Linked DNA regions of Diceros bicornis minor. The protein of the gene in region 2 interacts with the protein of the main gene of each other region in a pairwise test. Links are inferred from orthologs where the notes say so. Each region holds a gene or a part of one and is shown on either strand. Other genes may lie near its edges.

The links. The genes of interacting proteins can lie anywhere in the genome.
Region 1: the proteins of CARD9 (region 2) and MFAP1 interact in binary tests that used the Homo sapiens proteins (3 or more experiments, as listed by UniProt). The two-hybrid records come from large-scale screens. The link is inferred for Diceros bicornis minor from reciprocal best matches to the Homo sapiens genes CARD9 and MFAP1.

What each region holds. Positions count from the first base shown.
Region 1 is NC_080744.1:41,112,238-41,119,274, forward strand, and holds the start of MFAP1 (microfibrillar-associated protein 1), read right to left. Parts: upstream 3,006-7,037; 5' UTR 2,886-3,005; coding exon 2,807-2,885; intron 1-2,806. Other genes in the region: WDR76 (WD repeat-containing protein 76), read left to right, coding at 4,991-5,050, 5,693-6,103. UniProt on the Homo sapiens protein: Involved in pre-mRNA splicing as a component of the spliceosome.
Region 2 is NC_080767.1:42,451,589-42,458,746, forward strand, and holds the start of CARD9 (caspase recruitment domain-containing protein 9), read left to right. Parts: upstream 1-4,234; coding exon 4,235-4,826; intron 4,827-4,930; exon of another isoform or gene 4,931-5,296; coding exon of another isoform or gene 5,297-5,426; intron 5,427-5,611; coding exon 5,612-5,916; intron 5,917-6,069; coding exon 6,070-6,249; intron 6,250-6,344; coding exon 6,345-6,488; intron 6,489-6,822; coding exon 6,823-6,948; intron 6,949-7,158. UniProt on the Homo sapiens protein: Adapter protein that plays a key role in innate immune response against fungi by forming signaling complexes downstream of C-type lectin receptors.

The DNA.
Region 1 (7,037 bases), on a different chromosome or scaffold from region 2:
CATTATATATTTGTCCAAACCCACAGAATGTACACCACCAAGAGTGATTCTTAATGTAATCTATGGACTTTGGGTGATTATGATGTGTTAATGTAGGTTCATTAATTGTAACAAATGTATCACTCTGGTGGGGGATGTTGATAATAGGGGAGGCTATGCATGTATGGGGGTAGGGAGTATATGGGAAATCTCTGTACCTTCCCTTCGATTTTGCTGTGAACCTAAAACTGCTCTAAAAAAATAAAGTTGTAACAAAAAAAAGAATAAGAATGTGAGGTGGGGGGGAGGGTTTTTGTATCAGATTGCAAGGCTTATTTAAATTCACAGGAATTAAAACAATATGTCATTGACTCGGGGTACATAGAGACCAATGGAACAAAGTAGAGACCAGAGAAACAACCTATATGAGAACTTGCTATATTACAGAAGTGACATTAAAAAGCAATGGAGGGCCGGCCTGGTGGCTTAGCGGTTAAGTGCGCACGCTCCGCTGCTGGCGGCCCGGGTTCGGATCCCGGGTGCGCAGCGACACACCGCTTCTCTGGCCATGCTGAGGCCGCGTCCCACATACAGCAACTAGAAGGATGTGCAGCTACGACATACAACTATCTACTGGGGCTTTGGGGGGAAAATAAAGAAATAAATAAAATCTTAAAAAAAAAAAAAGCAATGGAGAATGGATAGGCTAGTCAAACAATGGAGTAGTAGGAACAACTGGCTAACTCTAAGATAATAAGGTAAAATTAGATCTCTAACTGACACCATACACACAAAAAATTCCAGATAGATTAAAGGCTGAAGTGTGAAAAACCTATCTTAAACATTTACATCCCTACTGGACTGTAAGCTCCTTAACTTAGTCTGTCTTGCACAATTGTGTATTCAATCCTACTTAGTATATACAAACATTCAGACGATAGAAAACTGAATGTCTATGATCTCAGTGTAGGGAAGGACTTCTTAAACAGTATACAAAACAGCACACACCATAAAAGATAAAATTGATAAATGTGATAACACTAAACTAAAAATGCCTGTGTAACAGAAGACTCCATAACTAAAGTTAAAAAACAAGCCAAAAAACCTGGGGAAATAGATATTACAGATTTAGGATGTATAAAAACGAAACAAAGGGGCCGGCCCGGTGGCGCAAGCGGTTAAGTGCGCGCGCTCCGCTGCGGCGGCCCGGGGTTCGCTGGTTCGGATCCCGGGCGCGCACCGACGCACTGCTTGGTAAGCCATGCTGTGGCGGCGTCCCATATAAAGTGGAGGAAGATAGGCACAGATGTTAGCCCAGGGCCGTCTTCCTCAGCAAAAAAAAAGAGGAGAATTGGCGGATGTTAGCTCAGGGCTGATCTCCTCACAAAAAAAAAAAAAAAAAAAAAAAAAAAAAAACGAAACAAATAGAAAACAGGTAAATGACAGAAACAGGTAATTCATAGAAGAGAAAACCCAGAGAGTGGATAAACGCACGAACAAGATGCCTAGTCCCACTAGAAATCAGGGAAATGTAAATTAAAATAATGAGATATCGTTACACACTCATTAGACTGGGCAAAAATTAAAAAATCTGATATAACCAAGGGTGTGGATAAACACATGGAGAAATAAAAACTCCTAATGCTCTTACAATCCACTGTGGAGAGCAACTGGCAACAAATTGAAGATGAACTTCTAGGAGTCTACCCTAGAGAAATTCTTATACAAGTGCACTAAAGAGACACATTTAAGAATGACAATTGCAGCATGTTTGTAATAGGAGAAAAAACAACACAACTGTCCCTCAGTAGGGAATAAACTGTGGTTTAATTATACAATGGAATTTATAAGCAATTAAACTGAATGAACTGGATCCATATGTATCCAAAGGATACTTCTCAAACGCCATGCTGAGTTAAAAGAAAAAAAAAAGGCAAGCTGCACAAGGATGGGTTCAGTATATTCAAAAAACACAAAAGTAAGAACTGTTATTATTTTCCAAAACCCTTAATGAAAAAATCCTGACTCTTTATTCTGACTCCTCAAACAGAAACGGTGTTCCTTCTTCCATCTGCACTCATTGGAATCCTATCTGTCCTTTAAGGATCAACTTAAATGCCACCTTTCTTTCAAGCTTTCCTTGATTACCCCAATCTGAAGAGATTATTCCTCCTCTGCCCTCCCACAGTATTTGGTTTATATCACCTAGTGACAGGTATTACAGGTGTGAAAGACTGTACACTGTTTAGAATGTGCCTCTTTTTGCATGTCTCACATCTATTAGAATACGAGTTCCTTAAGGTTAGGGGGACTGTCCTACACAACTTTGTATTCAATTTAATAAATACAGTCACTGCCTTGGCTGACAGGGATAAAAAGTTTAATAAGACATAGTTCCTGCCTCAAGGAGGTTATGAGCTTATGATGTACGAGAGACAGATACATAAATAATTATAACGATGAGTTATAAAAGCAGCATAAACAGACTGCTATGGATAAAAAAAAAGAGGGACTGTATCCCGCACAAATCCCTGCAAACAACAGGCATTCACTATATATGTTAGTCTAACGAATTGGTGGAGGCCAAGGGAAGATAGGTGCTTGCTGTAGGTGAGGGCAGACAGGCTATAGGAACAAGATGAGATGGAAGTGGGTTTTCTTTACCCTAGGCAACGTGATCGGGTGCGAGTGTGACGGGGAAAGTCGAAGAAATAGGGGGCAGGGTCTTAAGGGTCGGTGGGGTTGGGGTGGTCGGCCCGGGGTAGGTTTGGAGTACGCTGAGGAAGGAAGAGGCAAGACCCGACTGGAAAACGGCTCAGCACAGTACCTTTCTCATTGCGAACCGGGACGGCCCCAGCCGTAGACTGAATGGGCGGTTGTTTCATGAGTGCGCTTGGGACCGACATGTTGACGACAGCAGCGGTGACTCCCGAAACTTTACTGATTCCAAACAGCGAACAGCTTCAACGTCAACGAACAGAAAACACCTCCCAGCCTAGAGCCGCTAGACACGGCTGCGGGACTGATAGAAACGCCACTTACGGCTGGGCTAGAAAAACCGGAAATATGCGACCAGAGGATTGTGGGATTGTGGAGGACCTCTGGGCGACTACCGCTAGAACACCGAGTCTGTTACTGCGCATGTTCATAGGCTGCCCTAGCGTCCTCAGTCTGGAAGTACATATTTGGACGTCGGTTGTGGCGGGAAATTGCTTCGGTTGGGCTTTGCGGTTAAGACCCTGCGGCGAGGAAGGTCCGAATGAAAGGTTTCGCTTGTTAGCTTGGTTTGAAGCCGAGGAAAATGGGATAGTGATGAATAAGACACTGAGGAGATAGTGAAGGGCAGTTTGTCCAGACTGTAGAAAGCTCAGAATTAGAGTTTAATCGGAATAGAAATCCTGCTAATAGTGTCTGATTAATTTAGCTGATGAGGCTGAGTGGGTTTTGGTGCGGTACTTTTTGGTCACGCGAGGGCAGGTCGCGGTGATTTAGGCCAGTGGCAAAAAAGAAAGAAAGAAAGAAAGAAAGAAAAAAAATCCCCCAGGGGGCCTGAGTCAACGCCTGAAATCCGAACATTCTACTTTTAGGCTTTCTGGTTCTTTCCGCTTCTGGAGACCACCTTTTAAAATATATTCCTGGCTGGGAAGTGTTTGTATATAAGTCTTTGAGTAATTATTAAGTACTTGCTGTGTTAACTGTGCTTAGCTCTCTGTAAGCAGTAACGAATATTGTTAAAAGGCTCGTATCCTCAAGAAGCTTTAATTTAATTTAGGAAGTCTTCAAGGGCTTATAGAATCATAATAGAAGCAATCGCAATTACTAGCTCGGTTATATAAAAAAAATTGGCTAATTAGAAGTCAGAACACATTTCACTGTAGAAGGGATTTTAAAACTGCTATGGTTGGGAGGGAAGGGACAGCATGAGCAAAGTCTTGAAGTCCAGAAATAGCGTATATATCAGACACCATGAAAAGTGTGATTTTATCAGTAATTTTTGAGTCAAGGAGTGGTGAAAGTTTGGCAGGTACCAGATCAAGTAGGGCCTTGAAGGTGCTGTTAATAGGATTAGTTCTCAAATTATTTCACTTGTGTTCTCAACTTGAGCCTAGGCTGGCAGAAGAAATAAAAGGAACAGTGGAGGACTCAGATAACCAACCAAGGGAGCAGTTTTGGGCTAGAAAGAAAAGGACCTTAAAAATAAAGTAGATAGAAATTTATATTATGAATTTATCAGCTCCAAAACTATGCTGTCCAGAGGGAGTGTGATGGGAAGGCAATTGTTTTGGCTCACAGCAACCCAGAGAATAGAAAAAAAAATTTAATATCGCTGCGACTATAAGAAATACAGTGCACTAAAATCTTATGTTACTTTGTGATACAAAAATTATTTGATTCACAACTTTTCCCTAGCCTTTGGGCTTTGTAAGGTCCTCATTAGGATCTTAGTTAACTGGTGGACAGATGATCAGGTGAAATTTAAACTAGCTTAAGTTATCAGCTCTTGAAAAAAAACTAAAAAAAACTTCCCTTCCTAGGAATAAGATAATGTGGTAGCCATGGGGCCTAATTTCCTGGTGGTGGTATAAGGAACCAGGGGGCCGAGGTAAGGGCTGCATGTTGATTGCGATTTCCTTTGCTCTCTATCCGGCATCTAAGTGCGTCTGAATCTTTTCCAGCCTCACGTTGTAAGGCAAGGTGGCTTATCCTCAGCAGAAGCGCCAGTGTTTTTCAAAGTGAGATACTGGCGTCAGCAACATCAAAATCACCGGCATCCAAGGTAAAAATGTCGATTCGGTCCCATCGCGTCCCTCAAGAATTTGAGTTGGGGGTGAGGCTGGTAGGCTTGGCTCCTTAAGGGACGACGGTAACGCCCGTGTCGCCCCTCCCCCCCGGCCAGCTGGGATCTGAGCGCCCGCCGGCGCCGCCCGGGCTCCGCCCCTCCCACTCCCTCCCACCCCCGCCTCCCGCCGCAATCTTGGCGGGAAGACGCCAGCTGTTAAGCGGCGGAAAGATGTCCGGGTCGCGCGCGGTGGCTGAGAAGGCTGGCTCCAGACAGCGACTCCAGGTGAAGGTGAGAAAGGGCTTGTCGCTTTCGGGTGTGCTCCTGACTCAGTCTTCGAGAGGGATCTTCCGGGCACAGGCCCGGGAGGGCACCAGGACTTGGCACCCGGCACCTCCTCACTCCAAAACGATTTCCCGCCGCTTGGGGCATCCCTCAGCTTAAAGAGTTTTTCGGGGTGTTGCTTCAAAAGATAAGCGGGGATCCCTGCCCTGGTTTCCTCTGTGAGAGTAGGCTGCGGCATTGAGGAAGGTTCTTGTCAGTAACCCCAGAAATAGTGGCAGGATGGGATCAGGGACTCTGCATTTGCTTTTGCAGCAGTTAGTGTCAGCTTCCTACTCTTGAAACAATTCCATTTACTCAGAAGCTGACAGTTGGGGTAGAGTCACCTTAGATACAAATTGTAGTCATTATTATTATTGGTCTGGCAGACTCATATGGGCAAGAAATGTGCCCAGTATAATAAATAATTCTATTCAGGTTAATGAATTAAGTATCTAGGTTTTGGAGGAAAAAAGTTTCCTTACAGGCTATCAGTTTGGATTTATGTTGTTATTATGAAATAGGAATGAGATTTATTTACACAGATCTGTAAGAAAAGACATAGGATCTGGGATTCTAACACTCTCCATTTTCCTTTATTGACCTGAACAGGTGAATGAATATAAAGAAAACCAAAACATTGATTTTGTATCTCCAAGGCCAGTACAGACTACAGTTTTAGGAAAAACAGCTAAGGTGTGTCTTGTCCCCTTTTCACTCAGTAATTACAAACCAGACCAACTTAAGTGCCCCAAATCCCTCTTAGATAAGAATTCTAACAATGAAGTGGCGTGTAAGAAATGTAAGAAGATTGAAATAAAGAAAACTTGCAGAAGAATTTTAACTCCAAAGATGGAAGCCACATCTTCCAAGGCAGAATCCACTCTGCAAAAATCATCCTTAGATGTTCATACTGAAAGTAACAAGCAAGGACACAAGAGCACTTCAGATACAGTGATTCTCAGTGTTGATATGGAAAGCAGTCAGGATGGAGACAGTGATGAAGATACCACACCAGGCCTGGTAAGAATTTAAATACCAGCTTATTCAAATTTTTCTTAGTTTAAAATTTGAAGTTCTGGTAAGTGAAGGTTATCAGAGGTCTCTCTAGCTCAAGCAGATTGTTTTATCTAATTTATGTTTAATTGAAAAATTTTTTAAATGTTTAACAGATAACTTTGTTGAGTTAATTTTGCTCTTGGTTTTGATTTGTCAAGGAAAGGATTAACTTAATTTTCACTCTGCTTCCCTTTTTCTTCCTCTTGGTTTATTGCATATATTTTTGAGTTTACGCATACTTTATGGTATCTTGCTTACCTTTACGTATTTATGCACAATATACCAGAAGTTGGCCTGTGGGACATATGGCATTTGAGTGACCCTTGATGTCAGGGTAGGAAAATCATCATTAATTGATTGCATTGATGTGCTGAATAATATTTCCATTAAATACAAAAAGGAGACAAATGATGGAGTAGAGAAGATACACGAGAAACACTTATTAGTTCTGTTTAAAATAATAGAATCAGTTTAGGGAATTAGGCATCTAACTCCTTTGGCTTCGATTGCCTACCAGGAGTGTTGTACTTCATTTAAAGTGACAAATTTTATGCAAGACAAGATAAAACCCTACCACATGACAAAAAGGTTGATGGAACTAGGGGAACAGAAAATGATGGTAGGGAAAGGGAGATAGGATAATTGAGGTGGTGGTATTATGAAATAGGAATTCAGTTTATGCTTTATTGTCCCAGAGGTAAGGATTAGCACCTGTGGTGGCACAGTGTGTGGTAAGTCATAAATGCATTGGAAGCCTAGGTTTTAGGCATGGCCACTTCTAAGAAACCTTGTGCCTTTAAGCTAGTCACCTCTACGGTGAGGGAATTGGATAAGATCAGTGGTTCTCAAACTTTAGCTTGTATTAGAATTACCTGGAGGGCTTGTTAAAACTCCATTG
Region 2 (7,158 bases):
CAGTGGCCCTGCTGGGCGGCTCCAGGCCAGCACCGCCTGCCTCTGCACGGCGTTCCTTTGGCTTGAGACCAAGTCCAGCACCCTCGGCGCTCCCACCTCAAGGACTAGGCCTCAAGTTTCCGTTACAGCCATCGAGGCACTCGGCTCCCGGGGCTTCGTTCTCCTTGCTTCCTGCTCCACTTGGTTTCACTTATTATGGAAAGTTCCCAACATACAGAAATAGAGCAAGTGTGCCCAGCACATGTCCTGGCCTGGCCTCAACAGCAGTCACCGGGGCCGCCCGTCCCCTCTCCCCACCCAGACGTCACAGGTCACGCCTGCCACGGGCTGACTCAGTCTCCTGTGTGCATGGTCTTGGTTTTTGCTTTGTGCCCAGTACTTGGTTAACTAATTTCTAGTTTTCCTTGTGACTTCATCTGACTGATGGGTTATTTTGTCAGTGCCGTGGAGTGGATTCCGGCTCCTAGACCCCGTGGACAGCAGAGGGAAGCCTGCCCTGTCTTTCTGCGCCATCTCCTCCCCTTCTGCCACGTCAGACAATGCTCCGCTGCTATGCACAGGCTTTCCGATGTTTCTACGTGGGTGGCCAGGTCCTTCTTCCTAGTCTATCTAGTCGGGAAGCTCTGCTGACACCCGTCCACTGTGGTGACCTTGCTGGTAACGGGTTACTGAGATGTTTGTTATTTAACGTCCAAATATCAAGGGATCTTCCAGATATCTTTCTGTTACTGATTTGATTTTTTTTTTTTTTTTTTTTTTTTTTTGTGAGGAGATCAGCCCTGTGCTAACATCCGCCAATCCTCCTCTTTTTTTGCTGAGGAAGACGGCCCTGGGCTAACATCTGTGCCTATCTTCCTCCACTTTATATGGGACGCCGCCACAGCATGGCTTACCAAGCAGTGCGTCGGTGCGCGCCCGGGATCCGAACCAGCGAACCCCGGGCCGCCGCAGCGGAGCGCGCGCACTTAACCGCTTGCGCCACCGGGCCGGCCCCTGATTTGATTTTTTTTTTTTATAATTTTTATTTATTTATTTTTATTTCCCCCAAAGCCCCAGTAGATAGTTGTACGTCATAGTTGCACATCCTTCTAGTTGCTGTATGTGGGACACGGCCTCAGCATGGCCGGAGAAGTGGTGCCTCGGTGCGCGCCCGGGATCCGAACCCCGGGCTGCCAGCAGCAGAGCGCGCGCACTTAACCGCTAAGCCACGGGGCTGGCCCTCTGTTACTGATTTCTAGCTTAATTCTGATGTAATCTGAGAACACACGTTTTTATTTAATTCTTAAACACACGCCATGAGGAAGACACCTTGATCGGCCTTGTTTACCGAGCGGGGAAGTGTTGGGTCGTCGAGGGCCCAGCAGTGGCCGATCCATCACGTGAGAGCAGAGCTGCAGCCCGGGCCCCTCCCTGCTCGCCTAGCCCGGGGCATGAGCCCCCAGAACGCGTTCCCCCAGGGTCCTCCGGACTGCTCCCTGCTAGAGGGTGACATTGGGCCTCTGTCTTCTCGGAGCCTGCAGGAAGGCCAGGCCGCCTCCACGACTTACCCTGCCTGGTTGTGCCAGGACTCCTGAGGTTTCGGCCGACCAGGTGACCGCTGTGGGCCAGGGGCAGAGGAAAGCCCAGGGACTGAGGACCGAGCCCGACAGGAAGGGAGCCGGTTAGGCGAGAGGCAGCTGCCTCGGAAGGCGGAGCCAGGGCACGGGCAGGCCCTGCCCGCCCGTCCAGCTGCAGCTCCTTCCCGGAGCTGTTGCCTCATCCAGCAGGGCAGGTGGCAACTCGGCTCAACTGCTACGGCTACACCGGCGAGGCAGGGGCTGGGAGAGGCCACGTAGTCCACGGAGGACTGCTGCCATGACCATGGGCCGGAGCCTTGTCCTGCAGTCAACTGCCATTCTGACACCGGCTTGTGGGACTGCAGGCAGTGGCCTCGGAGTCCCGGGAGCCTGCTGTCACTGTCCCACGTGTCCTAGTGGAGAGGGCTGCAGAGTGGGGATGCTCCCAGGAAGGGAGGAGGATGTGCTAGCTGCAGTGGGCTGGCGGCCAAGTGAGGCAAATGTGGCCGGGGCCTGTGGCCTCTTGCAGGTGGCAGGGGCCTCCCCAGCCCCATGCCCTTTTTGGACACCACACTGCAGTCCTTAGGCGTCTGGGCCAAAGCAGACTGGATGGTGGATCAGCCACACCCAGCCCCTGGGTGGGCCTTCGCCCGCACTTCCACTGTGCAGGGTGCCGGGGCTGGGCCCCCAGGGCAGGCCCGGGACCTTGGCCGCCAGGCAGGCTGGGAGGGCTCCCAGCAGCTTTCCTCTGAGAGCAGACGACTTCCACTTCCCTCTGCCCCGCCTCCTGGGCCGCCCTGGCTGGGCGAATCAGAAGGCAGCCACCAGGGACTGTCCCCCTGCGGGAGGACCGGCTGGGCCTCTGTGGAGTTGCCCAGAACCATCAGGAAGTGCACAGGCGTCCCGCTGGGCTCCACCCTCCCTCAGGCCCCTGGCCGCCAGCAGCACCTCCTGTTGCTCATTGATCGGGGTGGCCCAGGCTGACCAGCGTCCAGCTGTGTGGGTGCCCCCTCGAGGACCCTGAGGTAGGCTGGTCTGGGGCCCTTTCTGAAAGGTGATTGGGAAGGTGCCGTGGCTCTCTGCTCAGGGCTGCTGGGGCAGGGAGCCGGGTCCTGGAGCAAATAGCCCAGAAGGGTACCCAGTGGCCTCAACTCTTCTGCCCTGTCCCTCTTCACGGCCACTGAGACCTGCTTGTTCATCTCAGTGGAATTAACAGCGGGGCATCAGACGTGGGACCCGTGGCTTTTAGGCTAGAAAGGCGGGAATGGGCCGAAAGTTCCCAGGACCGTCCACCGGGTTGCTGGTATCTTTATTCCACACCTTGTCTGTTGCTGGGCTGGATGGGAAGGCCAAGCTCTGTGGGAAGTGGGAGGACCTCCTCCAGAGACCAGGCCTTCTGTCACCCACATCTCTAGGATGTGGTCTAGCTCCTGTGGGCTAGAAACCAGAGTTTCCAACACAGCTGAAGGCTCTGTCTGAGGTGGCCGAGTCAGGGTCTCCGTCCCCACCACCCAGAGGAGGCACGACCACCTGGCTTGGCCCAGCCCCGGAGAGAGTGATTTCTCGCCTGCTGGTGGAAGGCAGCAGCAGTGGCTGGTCCCAATGTAGGTGGTCCCCTCGTCAGAAGGCCAGCGTGCCAGTCCCCCAGAGTGTGACCAAGAGCAGGCCTCATCTGAGAGGTGGGAGAGGAGCCAGAGACGGCTGGGTCCCAGGACCTGAGAGCCCGGAGGAGGCGCCCAAGCAGCATTCCAGGCTGGCCGTGGGCGACACAGCCAGGCCTTCCCCTAGTGCCCAGGCCCTGGCCCTCCTGTGGGCGGTCAGTCACCCTTCCCGAAAGGCACAGTGTCGCTGAGCCTGACTCGGAGCAGGCCAGCTCCAGGCAGCTGCTGGGAGGCTGTTGCACCACCAGCCGGCCACGGAAAGAGAGGAGGGGCTGGGGCGGGGACCTGAGCAGACGCTAAGTTGGGAAATGAGGAAGCCCCAGACAGCATGGTCCAGCATTGCGCAGGTGGGAGGTCACTTGCCTCGTGCCTCTCGCCCCAGCCTGGGCACTGGCCGGCCAGGGAGGTCGTGCCAGCGGGTGGCAGCAGCACAAATGGCTCCTCCTGCCCCACAGGTGGGAGGTGGCCATCCCTGCCAGCCCCACGACACTTGGGGGTCTCCCGGGGCGGGCAGAGGCCAGAGGAGAGCCATGGTGCAGGGGATGTTCCTGCCCCTGGAGCATCTCCACACCTTCCCCCGTACTCACCAGGGTGACTCGGGAGAGAGAAAGCCCAGGGTGGCCCAGGGGGCGGGAGCAGGGCCCAGGTGAGGCCGAGGGCCACCCAGTGAGCAGATGGGCAGCAGGGTCCCTGCGCAGCTGCTGCTTCCCTCTCTAGGTCGCCGAGATGGGAGGGCAGGGCCTGAGGCAGCACACCTCTCTCCCGAACACCCCTGGGCTGAGTTCCTGGCTGGGCTCCTCGGTGGCGGGCCTGGGGCCTAGCTCAGCTGACAGCTCAGCGAGTGGTGTCCCTCCCAGCCGCCCTCCCCGACTCTGGCCGACCCTGCCATGTCGGACTATGAGAACGAGGAGGAGTGCTGGAGCGCCCTGGAGGGCTTCCGGGTGAAGCTCATCTCCGTCATCGACCCCTCGCGCATCACGCCCTACCTGAGGCAGTGCAAGGTCCTGAACCCCGACGATGAGGAGCAGGTGCTCAGCGACCCCAACCTGGTCATCCGCAAGCGCAAAGTGGGTCAGTGCTGCCCCGCCCCCGAGCTGGCTAGGAGCCTGCCCAGAGGCCGCTGTGGGCTTTGTCCCCTACCCTTGTCCCCAGGAGGCCGAGCCCCATGCAGCCCCACGGAGTGCACCCCAACCCCAACTGCAAGCACGTGGACGAAACCCCCGGCACCCCTGCACCCGTCCTGTTTGCCGGGGGCCGTGGTGCTTCCATGCACTGCTGAGGCCTCTGGGAGAGCCAAGGGGTGGCGGGTGGCACTTGGACCCCGGCCTGCAGCGGCTGTCCACGTCCCAGACCCATTTGGCTGCGGCCAGACCTGGCGGGGGCCGCACAGCCTTGTCCCCCGGCCCAGAGCACCCATGCACGTCCCGGGACGCTGAGGCCCGGGCGCCAGCCAGGCCTCTCTGGGTGGCAGGCGTGCTCCTGGACATCCTGCAGCGGACCGGCCACAAGGGCTACGTGGCCTTCCTCGAGAGCCTGGAGCTCTACTACCCCCAGCTCTACAAGAAGGTCACGGGCAAGGAGCCCACCCGTGTCTTCTCCATGATCATCGGTGAGGAACGGGACACCGGGCATGGGGGTGGGGGACGTGGGGGGCACAGGGCCAGGATGGAGGGGTGGGGTCGGCATGGGGCAGAGCCAGACATGTTGGGAGGGCAGTGGCATGGGGACAGGGCAGCAGGCACCTCCCCATCGGGTCTCCCGACCGGGTAAATTGGGATCAAGGAAAGTGAGTGAGCTGCTCGTGGGCAGGGTGCCGGCGTGGGAGCGGGGCTGGTCATCGCTCCCGTCCCGCTCTCCTCTCCGAACACTCGCGGAGGGAGCAGCGGCCCAAGAAAAGGGGGACCAGACCTCTCGGGGAGCAGCAGGTCGGAGGCGTGTGCAGGTGCACAGGCTGACTCACAGATCGGAGCCCCTCCTGCCCAGAAAACCATCCCACCTGCAAAGCCCCTGTCCCTGCCCTGGGCCACAGACACTGCCCCTGAGAGGGCGGGGCCTGCCACTCCCAGGAATGGCGAAGCAATGCTCTCCTGGCCCCGGACTCGCGTCCTCTTGCCTCTCAATCAAGATGATAAGATCAGACAAAGGGAGACAGGTGCCTGGCCCTGGCTGTCCCCTGTCCTGGACGGGCATCGGGACAGGGGCCGGGGAGGTGAGTGAGCATCTCAGTCCATTTCCTCGACGAGAAGCAGCAGCCACTTGGACTTGACCCCTTGGCCGGGCTCCGCATTCCCTGGAGCCACGCGTTGCTGCTCCTCCAGTGCAGGGCCCTGGGAGGCGGTGGGGCAGGGTGGCCGTGGGGGACAGGCGACAGTCTGACGCTGGCCCCGTCTACAGACGCGTCCGGGGAGTCGGGCCTGACGCAGCTGCTGATGAGCGAGGTGATGAAGCTGCAGAAGAAGGTGCAGGACCTGACGGCGCTGCTGAGCTCCAAGGACGACTTCATCAAGGAGCTGCGGGTGAAGGACAGCCTGCTGCGCAAGCACCAGGAGCGCGTGCAGCGTCTCAAGGAGGAGTGTGAGGCCGGCGGCCGGGAGCTCAAGCGCTGCAAGGAGGAGAACTACGACCTGGCCCTGCGCCTGGCCCGCCAGAGCGAGGAGAAGGGCGCCGCGCTCATGCGCAACCGCGACCTGCAGCTGGAGGTGCCCTCCGGTCCACGGGGCGCGGGGGTGGGCCCGTGGCGGTGTCCTGGGCGAGTCGCGTGGCCCCGAGCCTCCGTCCTGCAGAGAGGGCCTGGCAGGCGTCGAGGGCCAGGCAGTGGGTGAGGCCGCCGCGCTGACGGGGTTGTCCCGCAGATCGACCGGCTCCGGCACAGCCTCATGAAGGCGGAGGACGACTGCAAGGTGGAGCGCAAGCACACGCTGAAGCTCAGGCACGCCATGGAGCAGCGGCCCAGCCAGGAGCTGCTGTGGGAGCTGCAGCAGGAGAAGGCCCTGCTGCAGGCCCGGGTGCAGGAGCTGGAGGCCTCCGTCCAGGTGGGGCCTGCGGGGCGGGCGCCGGGGCAGGTGGGCCGTGGGCCTCCCCCAGCAAGGTCGCTGCCCTGCTGCCCTCTCCCCTTCGCCACCCGCAGGCTGGGAAGCCAGAGAAGAGCAGCCCCTACATCCAGGTGCTGGAGGAGGACTGGAGGCAGGCGCTGCAGGACCACCAGGAGCAGGCCAGCACCATCTTCTCCCTGCGCAAGGACCTGCGCCAGGCCGAGGCCCTGCGCACCCGGGTACGCAGCGGGGGCAGGTGGACACCGCGCCTGGGGCCAGGCTGGCTGCGTGGGCTGAGGGACTGCCCTGTGCCCACGCAGTGCCTGGAACCGGGGGGCTCTCAGCTCTCAGCTCAGTCCCTACTGCACCCCGTTCTGGAGGCGTAGGGCCGGCCTTCTCACCCACTCCTGCCCTCACTCCCCCAGGGCAGTCAGGGCCAGCCTTGGTCTGGAAGCTCAGGGCTGGCAGGGACCTAGGGGCTCAGGCAGCCTCCCCCTCGTCCCAGCCGGGCCTGACCGGGGGCCAGAACAGGGGCCACGGGCGGTGGGGCTAGCTAGCTGCCGTCTCCCGCAGTGCATGGAGGAGAAGGAGATGTTCGAGCTGCAGTGCCAGGCCCTGCGGAAGGACTCCAAGATGTACAAGGACCGCATCGAGGCCATCCTGCAGCAGATGGAGGAGGTCGCCATCGAGCGGGACCAGGTAGGCGCCTCGCCGCCCGCCCGCCGGCAAAGAACAGCCTGCACTGGGTGAGGGAGTAGGAGGGGCGGTCCCCACGTTTGTGTGGGCTGCCAACGAGCCCTTTAGGGGCCGTTGTCAAAGTGGTCTTTGAATGACAGAAGCAGTACGTGCTCATTTAGAAATGTGAGCAGTAATGAAGTTGATCCCCAACCCACCTCCACCCCAGCCCCC